Linked DNA regions of Sus scrofa. The protein of the gene in region 3 purifies or fractionates together with the protein of the main gene of each other region. This does not show direct contact. Links are inferred from orthologs where the notes say so. Each region holds a gene or a part of one and is shown on either strand. Other genes may lie near its edges. The genes, in order: BCORL1, L3MBTL2, YAF2 and TFDP1.

Evidence for each region.
Region 1: the proteins of YAF2 (region 3) and BCORL1 purify together in Homo sapiens (affinity purification with mass spectrometry; 5 studies listed by BioGRID and IntAct, counting the BioPlex papers as one, with this or other methods). This does not show direct contact. The link is inferred for Sus scrofa from reciprocal best matches to the Homo sapiens genes YAF2 and BCORL1.
Region 2: the proteins of YAF2 (region 3) and L3MBTL2 purify together in Homo sapiens (affinity purification with mass spectrometry; 5 studies listed by BioGRID and IntAct, counting the BioPlex papers as one, with this or other methods). This does not show direct contact. The link is inferred for Sus scrofa from reciprocal best matches to the Homo sapiens genes YAF2 and L3MBTL2.
Region 4: the proteins of YAF2 (region 3) and TFDP1 purify together in Homo sapiens (affinity purification with mass spectrometry; 3 studies listed by BioGRID and IntAct, counting the BioPlex papers as one, with this or other methods). This does not show direct contact. The link is inferred for Sus scrofa from reciprocal best matches to the Homo sapiens genes YAF2 and TFDP1.

Annotation. Positions count from the first base shown.
Region 1 is NC_010461.5:106,546,519-106,550,568, forward strand, and holds the start of BCORL1 (BCL-6 corepressor-like protein 1), read left to right. Parts: upstream 1-1,239; 5' UTR 1,240-1,346; intron 1,347-1,910; exon of another isoform or gene 1,911-2,061; intron 2,062-2,089; exon of another isoform or gene 2,090-2,275; intron 2,276-2,620; 5' UTR 2,621-2,731; intron 2,732-2,970; exon of another isoform or gene 2,971-3,693; intron 3,694-4,050. UniProt on the Homo sapiens protein: Transcriptional corepressor. May specifically inhibit gene expression when recruited to promoter regions by sequence-specific DNA-binding proteins such as BCL6.
Region 2 is NC_010447.5:7,274,818-7,279,056, reverse strand, and holds the start of L3MBTL2 (lethal(3)malignant brain tumor-like protein 2), read left to right. Parts: upstream 1-1,423; 5' UTR 1,424-1,545; coding exon 1,546-1,569; intron 1,570-4,239. UniProt on the Homo sapiens protein: Putative Polycomb group (PcG) protein. PcG proteins maintain the transcriptionally repressive state of genes, probably via a modification of chromatin, rendering it heritably changed in its expressibility.
Region 3 is NC_010447.5:73,494,528-73,498,874, reverse strand, and holds the start of YAF2 (YY1-associated factor 2), read left to right. Parts: upstream 1-1,527; 5' UTR 1,528-1,788; coding exon 1,789-1,814; intron 1,815-2,229; coding exon 2,230-2,355; intron 2,356-3,910; coding exon of another isoform or gene 3,911-4,112; exon of another isoform or gene 4,113-4,293; intron 4,294-4,347. UniProt on the Homo sapiens protein: Binds to MYC and inhibits MYC-mediated transactivation. Also binds to MYCN and enhances MYCN-dependent transcriptional activation. Increases calpain 2-mediated proteolysis of YY1 in vitro.
Region 4 is NC_010453.5:78,754,294-78,758,370, reverse strand, and holds the start of TFDP1 (transcription factor Dp-1), read right to left. Parts: upstream 2,850-4,077; 5' UTR 2,714-2,849; intron 1,927-2,713; 5' UTR 1,864-1,926; coding exon of another isoform or gene 1,852-1,863; 5' UTR 1-1,851. UniProt on the Homo sapiens protein: Can stimulate E2F-dependent transcription.

The DNA.
Region 1 (4,050 bases), on a different chromosome or scaffold from region 3:
AATGTATAATAAATAATATCAATATATCTGCACATAAAGATTTTTTTTCAAATTCCTGCTATTCATTGCACATTCCATTTACAAAGCCCTGAACCCTCCAGGAACTGCTGGCCACCTCCCCTAGTACTCTCTAGGCTGAGGAGATGCCTTTGAAGTCCCCACCACGGACTCAGGGTTGGAGCTGCTAAGAAACACCCTTAGACTGAAAGCAAGTCTGCCGGCAGCTTCAGCTCCATCGCAAGCTGCTCTCTTCCTCCGAGTTAATGTAAAGTCATCAGAGTTCCAATGTGGACCGCAGGCTTCTCAGCCCTTCAGTCCTGGGGATAGCCTGGGATGTAAACACAAACGAGGATTTATTTCTTTGGCCAGGCAAGGAGTCGTTAGGGTAAAGGGTAGGGGTCAAGGGGTTCAGTCTGATGACTGAGGAGCCCCGGGAAAGCGGGCAGAAGCCCAGCCCTCTTCGAGCCAGGTTTTCGGCCCAAGTCGTGCAGGCTTCCCCCTTTACAGACCTTTCGTCCCCCTCCTCCTTCCTCCCTCGGGCCTCTCGCTCCTGCCCACCCCACCCCCCCGCGCGCCCCCGATGCCTCCACGCCCAGGCCGAGGGCTGCCCTTTGGAGGTCTGCCCGGTGTGTGTGTGGGGGGGTGTTGCAGCCCGGGAGGCTGCCACGAAGGGTGGGCCGCCCCGGAGACGCGAGGCGAGGCAGCGAGCCCCGGCATTTTCCCTTCCCCAGCACCTGTCCCACTTCGGCGCCGGGGCCGGGGCTGCACCCGCGGGCGGCCTCAGTGCCAGAGCGCCGGAGCCACGCACCGAGGTCGCCCGGGTTAGGGAAGTGGGGGACCGGGGGAGGGGCGGGGCGTCCGGCGGGGGCGCCCCCCCGCAAGCAAGACCCTACCCCCCAATACACTGAGGCTAAACCGAGAGAGAGAGAGAGACAGAGAGAGAGAGAGAGAGAGAGAGAGAGAGAGAGAGTCACATAAAGCTCGAGCGAAAACGTTCGCTCTCCGACCCCGTGCGGCGTTGCTCGCCCCCCCTCCTTCCTGGAGCCAGGGGCTGGCCGAAGAAGGTGGCTCCGTTCTTCCCCCGTGGCCAGTGCGGGGTCTGCGGCTGCCCGGCGAGGTTCCGGCTTCCCCGGGGCTGGCAGGGGGAGCCCCGAGAACTGCAGGCCCGCCCCCCCTTCCTCCTCCTCCTTCCCCTCCTCCCCCACGTGTCCTCCCGGAGCCCAGCGGCCTGATCCCAGCACCCCCCCCACCCACCCCGCCACCTCCCTCCTCCTCCCGCTTCGCCAGCTTCCCCGGCAGCGTGGAGAAGAGCAAAGTTGCGACAGGGGCCAAGGGGCTATGCCCAGGTGAAGGGGGCGCCGTGGGGGGGGGCGCGGCCCTGTGGCGGGGGCGGAGGGAAGATAAAGAAACTTGTTTTCCGCGGCCCCCACCCCGCGCGGGTTCGGGTCTTGCGTGGACCGAGCCCTCGTGGCGAGACGCGGCAACGCCGCCGGGACCGAGGCCGGCACCGGGATCCGGACCCGGACCGAACGCCTGAGTCGGCTCGGCGGGCGCAGGCAGCGGGCCAGGCCGGCACCCAGGCAAGGGCGGGGTGGGTGGCCGTACACCGGACCGAACCGGGGACTCCGGTGGCCTGGGCGCTGGCCGAACCCGGACCGGGCCGAGTTGGGTGGCGAAGTAGGACGTGGATTCGGGGGCGGGGCGCGGCGGGAGGGGGAAACCAGGCCCGGCCGGAGTGGCCTGGGCGTGGGGGCGGGGGGCGAGTTCGGGGCACTTGCTGGGCTCGGGACCGAGCGGTAGGGCGGGGCGGCGCTAGGGGCTGGGCCGGACCCGCGGGGAGAGGGCGAGGGGAGGGGGAGCCGGGGGTGGAGTAGGGGCGTGGAGTTGCGAGCGGGGTCTGGCCTCGGCCGGGGGCGAAGGTAGATCGGCGGGGCCGCCAGCGGAGGGAGGGAGGCCCGCGGCAGCGCGGCGGCGGCGAAGGCCAGCTTCCGCGGAGTTTGTGCCCGGGCTTCCCGGGCTCCGGCCGCCTCACGCGCACAAATGGGTCTAGGGGATTGACTGGTAAGCAACTACGAGTGTTAGACGGTGTTCGGCGGCGATTCCGGGAAAAGCGAGGAGAGACACTGTCTGCAATTATGCCGCACCCCCCCACCCACCTCTTTAGCATCTGGATTCTGCTCTCAGGGGGCCGCGGACCCTCCCTGCCACAACCCTTTCACTCTCCAGCACTCCCACCGACTCCCCCCACCTCCTCGGCCATCTGACTCTTCTAGGGGTGTGTGTTTGGGGGTGGACGACGGCGGGGGGGGTATACTTTTTCTCTCGCGGCGGCAGCCTAGTTCGTATCTTATTCCTACATGTAGCGTCGCTACGAGTCGCGTGGACATTGGGGTTTGGATAATCTACCCCCAACTAACTCCCCCCTCCAAGCGATTTGATGGCTTTTAAGGAAAGAGACGAATCCCTGGATTTCCACGCCTGGGATGAGGTTTAAGGATTGGGATTCATCCCCAGCTCACTTCAATTACCAACCCCTCTTTTCTTGTGAGCCATTTCCACGGGGATCCGAACTTGAAGGGGGGGAACGGGAGTATTAATGTTCTTCTCTATCTCTACACAGGGTCGGTGTGGCCAAGGACGGCTAGTCTCGGAGGGAAAGTAGCCACCAGTCCAACTCCGGTCACCCCCACTATTACTTCAGTGAGGGGGCAACGCCAAGAAGGGGATTTTGGTGGGTAAGGGCCCAGTATACGGGAGGGGGCTGGGTAGTCTCCCCCGATGGACTCCCTTTCTTGGCGGGGAGCGAGACGCGAGCCCCGGCTTCAAGGGAGGGGTTCCGGGGAGGGAGGTGGGGGGGTGGCGACGGGGGGGCGGGAAGAAGGGGGGAGTCACGCCCTGCCAGCAAGGGGAGCCTCCCTCAGGCCCCTGGGAGAAGGGGACTGAATGCGTCTGCTCTGTGCTGCGGGGCAGGAGAGATCTGGGATCTCTGGATTTGCACACTGGATCCAGCACCGGTGGCCTGAGAAAGTCAGGTCGGGGCATAAGGTGGAAAGCGTTGGAAGAAAGAGAAACCCCTGGCCGTGGGGCACTGATCTTTTCCCTTCCTCAACCTCCCCCTTCGTGGGGCGTACGGGGGGGGCGTGGGGTTCCTGCAGCCCCTCGGATTGAGCGCCTCCGCCTCTCCTGGGAGTCTAGCTTTTTGCCCGGCTTGCTGCAGCCACTGCTGCCTCCCTCTCCGGAATCCGCTCGGTCCTCGCAGCGATCCCCTCCTCCTCCCCTCCCCTCCCAGTGTCACCGGGGCTGCTTGGCTCTGCCCCCTTCGCCGCCGCTTGCTCCCTGCTTTCGTCCCTCCCTCTCTTGCTCGCTCCCTCCCTTCGCCTCCTCCTCCCCATTCCTCCCCCCCCCGCACAGGCGGCATTCTGGGAGCTGTAGTCCCGCGGAGCGGGGGCTGGCGCCGCCCGCGAACCCGATCGGACTCCACTTCCCGGCGAGCCCTGCGACCGGCACCCACTCCACCAGGCTTCGCTCGCACACACAGACACACACACACACCGCTCTCCCCCTCACTCTTTCGCTCGCCGCGGCTGCTGCCAGTGTGTGGCTCTGTCTCTCCTCCGCTTTGCTGAGCCCTCCCTTCTTCCTCTCAGTTCCTAGAGTCCGACCGCCGCCGCCGCCGAAAGAGAGGAGAAGGAGGTCGGTGGCGATAAGGGGCGGAGGGGGCATCAGATCGGGGTAGTATTAGGCGGGTGGTGGCTCCGAGGGGGTAAGAGGGAGTCCGGGTGGCGGCCTGAGCCTCCCCGCGGAGCCGACTCGGGAACAGGTGCGTCTTTTTTTTCTCTCCCCCAACCCCTCCACCCCTTTTGAGTCCCCGGCTTTCTCGTATCCCCCACCCGCTTCTTTCTACCTTCAGCCTTTCCCCAACCCTGTCCCTTCTTCGCCCCCCGGCCGCTCTGCTTGCCCCCCGGGGGCGCCGTCCTCTCCGTGTCCCCGGACGTAGCGCTCCCTGGAGCTCGCTCTGTCCTCGCCCCTCCCTTCGGGACAGCTCCCCTC
Region 2 (4,239 bases), about 66 Mb from region 3:
CAGAATTTTATTCTTTTATTTTATTTTGGGCTGCATCATGCTCATGGCATGTGAAAGTTCCTGAGCTAGGGATCAAAGCCACGCCACAGCAGTGACCTGAGCCACAGCTGTGACAACACCAGATCCTTAGCTTGCTAGGGAGCTAAGTCAAGCAGAATTCTTTTCTTTTCTTTTTTTTTTTTGGTTTTTTGTCTTTTTAGGGCCACACCCACAGCCTATGGAGGTTCCCAGGCTAGGGGTCTCATCAGAACTGTAGCCGCAGGCCTACGCCACAGCCACAGCAATGCCAGATCTGAGCTGTGTCTTTGACCTACACCACAGCTCACGGCAACACCAGATCCTTAACCCACTGAGTGAGGCCACGGATCGAACCCACAGCCTCAAGGTTCCTAGTCAGATTCGTTAACCACTGAGGCACAAAGGGAACTCCAAGAATTCTTAACTCCAAACTCATTCATTCCTTGTACAGTTTCTAACCACTACAGAATATGGTCCCACTGTCTACCTATCCAGAGTAGACAGGCACCTTTACCCAGAGTCACTCTGGATTCCTCCCTCTTCCAAACCTACTCCAAACAATTAATTACTGCCTCCAATATATTTCTCAAATTCTTCTACTTTTTTGCCAGCCTTCTAAGTCTGGCCTGATTCAAGCCACCATCATCCTTCCCCTGGATCAGTACAAGTGCCTTCTAACTTGTCTCCTTGCTGCTTCTCTCTCTCTCTCTCTCTGTTTTTGGCCTCACCGGTGGCATGAAGAAGTTCCTGGGCCAGAGATCAGACAAGCACTACAGCAGCAACCAGAGCCCAGCAGAAATAACTGCTGTATACTTAACTCCTTTCTTTCTCTTTCTCTCTTTCTTTTTCTTTCCTTCCTTCTTTTCTTTTTTCTTTTCAGGGCCCCAGGTGGGGCATATGGAAGTTCCCAGGCTAGGGGTCAAATCGGAGCTATAGCTGCTGGGCCAAGCCATCCCAGATCCAAGCCACGTCTGTGACCTACACCACAGCTCACAGCGACGCAGGATCCTTAAACCACTGAGCCAGGCCAGGGATAGAACCTGCATCGTCACTGATGCTAGTTGGGTTCCTAACCAGCTGAGCTACAACAGGAACTCTAAGCACCCTAAATTTCTAATCAGGGAGAGTGCGAAATTATTCCCAGCTCCTGAACAGTGCGTATCTTAGGTAGTCAATGATGTTTAATGAAGAATGGGGTCAGAATGATGTAAACAGCTCTACGTGGATAAAGGGTAACAGTCCCCGCAAGCCGCAGCAGGGCTAAGGCGGGGGGCTTTCCCCTTCGTTGTGGCAACGCCCGCTTCAGCACGCACCCACTAGGGAACTACAAGTCCCACAAGCGCCCGCTGCTTCCCCACCTCCAAGAGAGGCGGGCCGGGGGCTAGCGCGGAACCGGCTTTTCCTCTTTCCCGCAGCCTGATTGGCCCGAGGCTCTGAGAGGCGGCCAATGAGTGCGCTCGGGAAGAGCGGCCAGGCCAATATGGCTTCCTGCACCTGGTGACGGTCGAAGAAAGGGTGTTAGGTCTCATGGAGAAGCCCCGGGGCGTCGAGGTGAGAGGGAGCGGACGTCTCGTGCCTGGGGAAGGGAACCCCGGGAGCCTCACTCGGTGGACCCTTCCTCAGGCCTTTGAGCGACGCCTGGAGGGTGGAGGGCGGGAGGATGGATACACAGGTAGTGAGGCTGAGCGGGCCGGAGGCGATTGGCCGTGCTTTTTGCTCGCGCGCCGCTGGAGCCGAGGAGTTGAGGGAGGAGCAGCCCCTCTGGCCTAGGGGAAGGGGAGTGGGGTTCAGGATCTGAGCGCTCCAGCATCGTCTTCCTCCTCCTTGTCTCGTGGCGGTGGTCTTTCGTGATCGTGAGGGAGGCCTGTCACATTCCGATGGGAAGTAAAGGAAGATTAAAGTTTCATGAACAGTCCGTTTATTAAAGTTTAATAAACAGTCCGTGCCTGGAGCGTTCACGTGCATTATCTCTCCGATACTCAGCAGTCCTATGTTATTGTCTGGTTTGCATGGTTCGAGTGGCTGAGGCTTAGAGAGGTGATGAGCCTTCCCAGGAGAGTCACAGGGCTGTAAAGTGTAGATAGTCACTAAGTCTGCCAAGTTCCAAAACTCGACCTGTCTTATCTTTTCCACTGTACCACAACCTGTAACCCACTCATCCAGTAATCATTTGGCTCCTGGTCACCTTACATTTGAATTTGGTGACCTTTCTAGCATATTTGCATATGTAGGTTTGTTTTTGTTTTGTTTTTGTTTGTTTGTTGCTTTTGAGGGCTGAACCCACGACATATGGCCGTTTCCAGGCTAGGGGTTGAATCGGAGCTACAGCCGCCAGCCTATGCCACAGCCACAGCCACAGCAACGCCAAATCCGAGCTGAATCTGGGGCCTACACCACAACTCACCACAACGCCAGATCCTTAACCCTCTGAGGGAGGCCAGGGATCGAACCCACAACCTCATGGTTCCTGGTCGGATTGGTTTCCGCTGCGCCAGGAGGGGAACTCCTGTAGTTTTAAATATAAAGTGGAAGAGCTCAAAAACAATACAAGGGTCAAGGAGAATAACCATAAAGTGGAGAATAAAAGTTATAACTCAGTTTTGAACTTTCAGTAACTGCTGGAAACAGCTAGACTTGAGGCATCTTAGCAGTGTTCACAGCAGTCCTCTATAGAAGGTGTTGTTATTATATCCTTGGTACTGATGGAGAAACTAAGAGCAGTAGGTTAAATATCTTAACACAGAATCCCACAGGTGATAATAAGTGGGAGAACTTGGATTCAAACTCAGGCAAATCTGGTTTGAGAACCCATGCTTTTAACCAGTAATGACTGCCAACATTTATTGAGCACTTGCTGTGGGCAAGTCAATTTTCTGAGTGTCTTACCTATATTAACCCTTACTTCTCCCCCAAAGTCTGTGAAATAGGTGGAACTGCCCTCATTTACAGATGAGGAAGTCGAGGCACTGAGTTGGATCTGCTTCAGGCCATACAGCTAGAAAGCAGTAAGGATGGTATTGGATCCCTGGCCTAGAGCCCAAACTCCTCACACCTTTTCGACTACATGGCAGGTAGATTTATATATACATTATCTCATTTACATTCCTGTGAGCCAAATATTTTTCTTATTTTATAGATGAGAAAATTGAGGTGTCCCCACTGTGGCAAAGTGGATTAAGAATCTGACTGCAGGGAGTTCCCGTCGTGGCTCAGTGGTTAATGAATCCGACTAGGAACCATGAGGTTGCGGGTTCCATCCCTGGCCTTGCTTGTGGGTTAAGGATCTGGCGTTGCCCTGAGCTGTGGTGTAGGTTGCAGACACGTCTCGGATCCCGAGTTGCTGTGGCTCTGGTCTAGGCTGGCAGCTACAGCTCTGATTAGACCCCCAGCCTGGAACCTCCATATGCCGCAGGAGCGGCCCTAGAAAAGACAAAAAAAAAAAAAAAAAAAAAGAATCTGACTGCAGCAGCTCAGGTTGTTGCAGAGGCTCGGGTTTAACGCCTGGCCCAGCGCAGTGGGTTAAAGGGTCTGGTGTTGCCACAGCTTGCAGCATTAAGTCACAGCTGCGGCTCAGATTCAATTCTTGATCCTGGAAACTTCCATATGCCACAGGTATGGCCATTAAAAAAAAAAAAGGAGTTGCCGTCGGGGCTCAGTGCCAATGAACCATGAGGACGCAGGTTTGATCCCTGTCCTCACTCAGTGGGTTAAGGATCTGGCATTGCCATGAGCTGTAGGTCGAAGATGTGGCTCAGATCCTGCGTTGCTGTGGCTGTGGTGTGGGCCAGTAGCTACAGCTCCAATTCAACCCCTAGGCTGGGAACCTCCATATGCCCCAGGAGCGGCCCTAAAAAAAAAAAAAAAAAAAAAAAAAATTGAGAGACCCAGAGAGGTGAAATGACTTGCCTGAGAATAGTTAGGATCAGAGTTGAGTCCAAAGCTGTGGTATATACCACTATATTATAGCTAGTCTGTCATTTGCCTCCCAAATCCTCTTTAGGGCAGTCTGGATCCCAAATTAACTTTTCTCTGACTTAAATTGTTTGTTTTTTGGGGCCGTGCCCACGGCTTACAGCCGTTCCCAGGCTAGCGATTGGAACCTTGTGCTATAGCAGTGACACAGCTGCTGCAGTGACAGCACCGATCCGTAAACTGCTGTACCACAAGGGAAATCCTGACTTAAACTGTTTTTGAGTTGAAATTATTTTGCTGAAGGGGGAA
Region 3 (4,347 bases):
GATTGAAGACTAGGCCTTAGATCTCTTCTCTTAATTGCTTTCCTTAATCACATTCCTCATGGTTTCTGGGTCTCTCAATCGAGGTCTGAGTCGTAAGAAGTGATGCTTGCAAAAAATACAGATGGTGCACTGAGTTCAGAAAGAGCTGTAAATTGTAAATTGATATGGTTAATTAGAAAACAGGGACTGAAAACAGAAATAGACTAACAGAGAGAAAAAAACAAACTTGTGGTTACCAAAGGGGAGAGGAAAGCAGGACAGACAAATTAGAAGTGAAGGATTAACAGACACAAAGGACTATGTCTAAAATAGATAAGCAACAAGGATAAACTGTACAGCACAGGGAATTATAGCCATTGTTATAATGTAAAGTGGAGTATAATCTGCAAAAATACTGAATCGCTATGCTGTACCTGAAACTTAATATTGTAAATCAACTATACTTCAGTTTAAAAAATAAAAAAGGAAGAGCGGCTTGCAGAAAGACTGACAGCATATCTGAGCTCTAAACCTAGCCAACTCATTTAACCTGGTCCCTATATTCCTTGTCTTTCAAATGAAGGGATAGGCTACTTGATGGGAATATTTGCACAGCACTTTGAGCCCTTTTAAAAACACGCATTGTGTAAAGAGACTTACAAAGTGCCAGCATAGAGTGCTAAAAAGTGTTAGTAGGCTTAAGAGTCCAGGAGCTTTAACCAAAGTTCTTGATCAGCGTGGTGACATAACGTTACCAGCATTTTATTATTAATCTGGTTGCGAATTACTGCTAAGATTGGGAAGGTGAGGCTGGAACTTCAGAGAGAGAGAGAGACCAGTAGGATGGCTGTTGCTAGAGTCTAGTAGAAGATGAGGGCATCCAGTACATTGCGGTAATGAAACCTGCTAGGAACGTGTTCTTAACAGGGCACACGCAAACTCGTTATTTAAAAGGAAGGGAAAAGGTCTTTTGAGTGTTTGGTTTTTTTTTTTTGCTGTTGTTGCTGTTTTCGTTTGTTTGTTTTTAAAGCAGCTACTGTAGAGGCTTGAGAGGCGAGGAGAGCTCATTTGGAATTAAAACAGTTAGATTCCTGGCTTCACCACCTCTAATTATGTAATATAGAGGAAGTCGCCTAACCTCTCTTGAACCTGGGTTTCGTTTTCTCCAAATTAAGGAGACAATCCCTACTTGGCCAGCATTTCTATGCACAAAACTAGGCAAGTGGCTTAGGGCACCTAGCAATGGCGCTGACGGGTGGCTCCCGCCTTCCCCCGGGTATCCTTAGGGCTAGAGCTGAGGAGCCAAGGACCGCTCAGGCCCGGAAAGCGGTTCCACCTGGAGACGGCGGCCGCGCACTCTGGTCCGGGGCCGGGCTGACCTCTGAACGCTGGCCCCACTTTGGACCAGGCTTCGCGCGGGAGGACGGCGCCTCCCCCGCCAGAGGGGCTCCGCGGACGCCGAGAGGGAGCGGGCGGCACCGGGCGAGAGACGGTGACGGCGCGGGAGGCTGGGATGGCCACCCCCACGCCGCCGCCCGCGAACTCGCCGGGAGTGCTGGGCCGCGCTGGCCGCGTTTGAAGTCTCCGGCGCGGCCGCTGGTTGGCTCGCGTGGGTCACGTGGCCCAGGCAGGAGTTTCCCCGACAGCTGGAGGCTGCGTGGGATCCGGCGGCGGCTCCGGAGCTCAGCGGTGCGGCCTTCCCCGCCCCCTCCCTCCTCCCCCGCCCGCTTCCGCCCGGCTTATTATCCTCCTTATTGACAAACAGAGCGGCCGCGGCGGCGACTCTCGGCGTGCGTTTGTGGCCAAGCCATGGGAGACAAGAAGAGCCCTACCAGGTAACAGCGCCCGGGCCCCCGGGCCCGGACTGTACAGGCGACGGGGCTCTCGCGGCGGGCTTCGGGCACTCGTCTCGCTCGCCGCCGGGGCAACGGGGCTAGAACGGGGGCGGCACCGCTGCTGCGCGAGCGCTGCCGCGTGAGGGGCCGGCGCCGGCCGCCCCACAATGGAGCCGCGATGGCGGAGGCCGGCGCGGCAGGCCGGGGTGTCCGAGCGGAGGCGGCGGCTGCGACCGCGCTCGCGCCCTCGCCTTCCTGACTCCCCTCCCCCTCTGAGCCCGAGGCGGGCGCGCCGGGCGCTGGCGGGGCGGGGGTCGCGGGCCTGGGGCGGGGGGCGGGGCGGGCGCGGCCGCGGGGCCCGGGCGCGGCCTGCTGGTGACCCCGCGCCGCGTCGTGTCCGGGTTGTGTCCTGCAGGCCGAAGCGGCAGCCGAAGCCGTCCTCGGATGAGGGTTACTGGGACTGTAGCGTCTGCACCTTCCGGAACAGCGCCGAGGCCTTCAAGTGCATGATGTGCGATGTGCGGAAGGGCACCTCCACCCGGTGAGTCCCGCGCCTGCCCTGCGCGCCGCCAGCCGGCGGGGTCGAGGCGCCGAGGACGCCCCTGCGGCTGCCGTCCCCTCCCGCGACACTCGCCCACCCGTCGGGCGGAGGCGAGACTGAGGTGGTGTCCGCGATAGGAACTGGGTCACGTTGATCGCGACCCTAGCGCTCGTTTGCGGTGAAGGGAAATTGAAGAGGCTGTAACGTTTCTTGCTGCCAAGAGAGAATAAATTATTAAAGAGAGGCATTAGCCACTGCGATTTAATGATTTAATTCATATCGCTGGGTGTAATGCCGCATCCCCCTTTCCCCAGCACACATTCCGGATGTAAGAACGTAGGCTGCATTGTTGTGTTAGTGTGTAGGAATCAAAGAAGCACCATGCAATCCTCTTTAGAAGCAAAAGATGTAATTTAATTTCCTTCCTCAAAAAAGTATCTGATTATAGAATACATAGTAGATTAAGCTTTTTTTTAATATAAACGTCTAGAAGGGTCAGATCAGGGTTTTGTGTAGTGTCTTTACCCCAGTTCTCTAACATTTTATAAATAGTTGAGGTGAGCCCAGTCACAGGGACACATTTTTACTGCAAGTATCTGACTTTATTTTGTTTGATTAAACGGCACTCTTATTAGACTATATGAATGAGATAAAATTAATCTTTGCGTATTTTCAGCCTTTATTTCATTGCAAGCTTACAGTATGATAACAGTCTTTAAAAAAAAACACTTAAGTGAATTAAGTGGATAAAGAAAATCATTCAGGAAATTTAAAGTCATGGGCATTCTTGATCTGCCAGCACGTAGTTACTGTGATTTATACCCTGGTATTTAGATGACATATTTTTGATTAAAGTCAATTAGAAAGTAAATTGTCACACCTATACTGATACAATAAACTGTTTTTTTTAAAGGATTATATAGTATTAATATATATTCAGTAGAAGTTAGATTTCTGAAAATGAGATATCCAGATTTTAAAACACTATTTACAGCATTTTATTAAATTTTTAAAATGTAGAGACAGAAATAGTTGTCAAAAACTTGAAATTTGTAGATTTGCTCAGTGAAGCTGGCTACTTTTGACATAACCTTTTTGTAAGTCATAATTCACTTTTGGTATATTCTCATTTACATTGGATAAAATATGTTGAGTATTTTCATGATGTCTTAAAAGGCAAACTTTCAAACATCTATTAAATTCAAGGGAATATAACAGAACATGCTAAAAGGAAAAAAATTTTGCTAAAATGAATGTGGACCCGTGATTAAACTATTTTTGAAAGCAGAGTATCTTTACATCTTTATGTCTATATAAGGTTGGATTTGGTCTAGATTATATTTGTATATCTATGTTAGTACTTTGTATTTTTTTAAATGCTCAATAAGCAATTTTCAGAAAATCTGGTTTTTGGAGGCAGGAAGTTTAATGTGGAGACAATTATTATAATCTTAACCTCTGGTTCAATATTGTTGCTTTTTGTTGTTCCCTCTCTATTTTCTTATAGCCATTAGAAAAATACTGAAACTAGAAGAGCTTATATGTTTATTTGCAGGGACAGCAAGGAAGGGGGGAAGCTGGTGTCCTACTCCACAGCCAGTCTTGGGGTTAGAGGAACCCTGAGAAATAGAGTAGGTGGTGGCAGCTCAGAAGAGAAGAAACAGGCCGAATACCTGGCACCTGGAAGAAGAAGGAATATAGTGCACAGGGGAGTTGGCCCAGGACAGAGAAGTGGGCCTAGTTTAAAAGAGGCTTGAGGCCCACATGGGGGCCCCTGACATTTTTTACCAGTACATCTGAGCTCTTATAGATCCAATTTTTAGTGGTGGAAACATTACTTGAGGAGGACTCAGAGAAGCATTGTCATTTGGATTGAAACTGAAGAGGCTCTGGGCAACTCACCAGAAGTCTAAGGGACACTCTGTTCCTAAAAGTAAGTGTTCGACACTACGACCCTCTCAGCTTCTTCCTTCCTCTCTCTGAATTTGTCTC
Region 4 (4,077 bases), on a different chromosome or scaffold from region 3:
AGGAAAGCTCTGGGTCTTCTCGGGGAACTGACCACCAGCAGGACGGCCCTCAATCGCCACCCTCCCCGGGCCTCTGCAGGCTGGCTGCCCCCATCAGTCCCCGAGTTTGTCCGCCTCCACTGGGACCCCCCGCCTCCCCCGAACCTAACGCCAGCCTCCCTGGGCCCAATGGCCCAGCTGGGGTCCCAGCCCACCCGCTTCAGCCAGAGGCTGTGCGAGGTGCTTGCAGGCTTTGACCTTACCCCCAAGGGCAGAGTGAGCCTCCTATGCCTGCCCCCTACCCCCCGACAATGGTCAGCTTCCCAGATTCCAATGTCACACCTGACCTAAGACCCAGCGCAGGGGGAGACGGGGCTGAGCCTGAGCGGCCCGCAGCCTCTGTCCCGCCAAGCACAGCCCTGGAGAGACCCGGTTCCAGCACACCTGCCGACCCCAACCCAGGACAGGCAAAGCCACTGCTTCTTACCTGGCTGTTCTCACCGCGACACCAACCTCCACTGTGTCACGTACCCAAGCTCAACGGGTGGTCCCCATCACCCCCACCCAGCCACCAGGTGGCCCACAGCGACCCAGCCTTCGCTGGGCTGACCTCCAGGAGTGACCTTCGGAGGAGGCCGCTCAGGAGTCTCCTGGAACCAGGCACGGGCCTGGACTGTCTTCCCATCCCCCGGATGCCCAGGGGGAGGGAGAGGACGCCTCCTCCAGGGGGTTCAGACAGGACGAGAGGCAAACTCAGCTCCCCACCTCCACCCACGATGGGAGGCATGGGGGCAGCTGCACCCCTGCTGAGCACCAGCTCCCGTCCTGCGTCTTCCGGGCGACAGTGGCAGAGAACTGGGCCTGGCCACTGACGATTAGAAGGTAACACCACCTGCACATCACACACAGACTCTGGTTTTAAGCTCAAACCCACCACACTAGCCCCGTGTTCACCCGCTCTGCCAAACTAACTGGCGCGGGGGCCCACAGCCTAAGGCCCAGCGGGTGGGGTGCCTTCCGACAGGCGCCCTGCAGAAGGTTCAAACCCGCGAGGTGACGGAGGCATCATGCCCGTTTCCTGGCGCCACCAACAGGGACGTGCTTTACCCTCCGGCTGTGTCTCAGGCAGATGCACGTCCTCAGAGCTGCATTTCCACCTCCACGCAACACACGAGTAAATAAATAAACTGCCTCTTTTCATTAATGTTTACGGAACAGCACGTCCTGAGACACGCTAAAGGAGGAGCCGGGGTTTCAGTGAATTTCACGGATGTCACCCAGGATCGAAAGAGCTGCCCAAATGATAAAAGCCGAAATCTTGGGGCCGAAAAGCCTACTTCTTAAAACAAGAGAAAAAAACTAACTCATCAAATTCTATAGCTCCCCGACAAATATAAAGCTAAAGTAGAATTTTTGCACCCCACTTCACTAGGCACCAAGTGCCACTTTTTCTGAGAAAAAAGGCTGCCAAACCCAGTGCTTAGCCTGTTACGGCTCAAAGCTGAAGTAACATCCTACACGGTACCTGCAGAGGATGCTCAGCGCCATTCCACCGAGTCCAGCGCCTGCCCAGGGTCCCCCACCAAGGCACTCAGATTTCCAAGTTAACCAGTCAGAAGAGACCCACAGATCGGGTCAGTCAAGCCCCATCGGGCATTGGCCCCCCTGGGGGCTCAGGCCTGCAAAGTACCCTCCATAAAGGCCACCGGGGCTCCTCTGGGTTCCTCACCTTTAGCGTGTTTCATGTGCTTTAAGAGTCTGAACATAAACGCTCCTGAATGTTGTGTGCTGTCATTCTGAAACAAAATCGGGAAACTACCAAGAATGTATCAGTAGGCAAACATGCGTCCAGCAGGAAGCAAACATACTTACATCTTTTGCCATGTTACCAGATCCGTGAAATCGATGCTATAGTTGTTCACCCTCCAGAGAAGAAAAATGACTTTTCTGGTAAAAAGAAGAAAGGAAAAGCAAGGAGTGAATAAGGATGAAATAAGAAGTTCACAAACCTCAGCGTTTCCCCCCAGCACCACCACCATCCCCACCGCGGCTCAGGGGAGCGGCGCCTTCCTCTCCATGCCCACACTCCACCCTCGGAGCGGGGCCGCAGAAACAGCCCCCACGCTGGGGATTTTAAAGTCATCTCAGGAATGGAAGCTCGTCCGCCACCAGAATGCCCGCCGGCCTCCCCAGACGCGCACAAAGAGCCAGCAGCGAGGCCGAGCCCGCACTGGCGGCCCGCGTTCCCACCCGGCGCAGCCCCAGTCTCTGCGCACACGCGCTCCCCACGGGCGCCCCGGCCCACCCGCGACCACCAGCCGACCCGTAACTCTGACAGGTGGGCTTCCGGGGTCCCGGCCTCCAGCCTGTCACTAGGCCGCGGCGGCCTCCCGCGAGCGCCCCCCACGCCCCGGAACCGGCAGTCGGCGGGCAGGTGGGGTCGGCGCCGCCGGGCCCCCGCACCCCGCACCCCGGACCCCGTGCGCTCGGACTCGGCCCGCCCCAACCCCCGCCGGGCGCAGACGCCGATGCGCGCGCTGCTCCGCCCGGAGGCCCCTGCAGGCCCCGACGGGGACCCTGGCCCGCGACCCCGCCGGGCCGGTCACCTGGGCGCCCACGCGGCGGCCCTGGCGCGCGGGGACCGGTCGGCGCACGCGGCGCGCGGGGGCGGGGGTCGGTCGGGGTCCGCAGGCGCCCGGCGCGTGCGCCCCTCCGGGACCCCGGCCCGCCGCACCTGGCGGGCGGGAGGTCGGCGCGCGGACAGCGGCGCGCACACGCGGGCGGGCGCGGAAGAGCGGGCGGTCCCGGCGGCGCTCGGCCGGGGTCCCTGCCCTGCCGAGGCGCCGGGGCGCGGGGCTCACCCTGCGAGCGTCGGGCGGCGTGACGTGCGCGGCGCGGTGACGTGGGCGGCGGCCCGGCTCCCGCAGCGCGCCTGCGCGCCTTTTCGCGCCTTCGGCTCCCTCCTCCTCCTCCTCCTCCTCCTCCTCCTCCTCCTCCTCCCGCTCCGCGGCCCGCGCTCGCGCTCCGGGGGGCTGGGCTGCGCCTGCGCGCGTCCGCATGTGCGCGCGTGTGTGTGCGCGCGCCGAGCAAAGATGGAGAGGAGGTCCCAGCCCCCGGGGCGCGGTGTTGCGCACGCGGGGGAGCTGGGCCGGGGATATGCGCACGTGTGCGCACGCGGCGGACAGGGACTAGGGGTGCACGTGCGTATATAAGCACCTGGGGAGGGGGACAGAAGCTGAGGAGGTGTGCACCTGTGCATGTACACGGGTGTGTGTGCATCCGGGGAATGGGGGGTAGGAGTGTGTATACACGTGTGGGCACATGAGGAACAGGGGCAAAGTGTGCAGGTGAGTGTGTATGCACAGAGGTCTGGAGCCAGTGTGCAAGTGTGTGTATGTGCGCGCGCGTACCCAGGGGCTAGAGATGCATTCATGGGTGTGCACACGGAGAATGGGTTGAGTGTGTGCGTATGCACGTACAGAAGTGCGCACATGGGGGGGCGAGTGTGTGCACAGTGTGTATACGTATTCGAGAATAAGAGAGGTTGGGTGCCCATGGGCGTGTAGGGGCGGGTGCATGTGTAGGTGCGCAAGGAGAGGAGGCCAGGCGTGTGCGTGTGTAGTTGCACCGAGGCGAGGGCCGTGTGCACCCACAGCGCAGAGAGCCCTGTCCACCTGCTGCTCCTGTTCTGAGCTGCCAGCGGCCTCCGTGCCCACGCCCAGCCTCCAGCCAGCCTCAGAGCATTCTCAGTGCAGGAGAGTTGGCTCCTCATCACTGGGTGGGCTGGACCTAGTGGACGCTGAGCCTCGGAGACTCGTCCCCTCTGGGCGCCCCCGCAAGCACCAAGGCCCCAGAGGGCATGGGCTCTGGTTCCAGAGACGCTGCGGAGGTCGGGAGGGGCCTGGGAGTCAAGTCCGAAGTTCATGAGCACAGAGCAAAGGCCTCTCATCTTGCAGGTTTCCACCCGGCCGCGGACGGTTTCCCAATTTAACCGCTTTTATGCTGATCACGCCCACTCTGCTTCTCCAGTAAAGCCCCTCCCGGCCTAAGACTGTTCACACCTTAGCGCTGGTTTCTTGAAGGGAGCAGAGATATTCG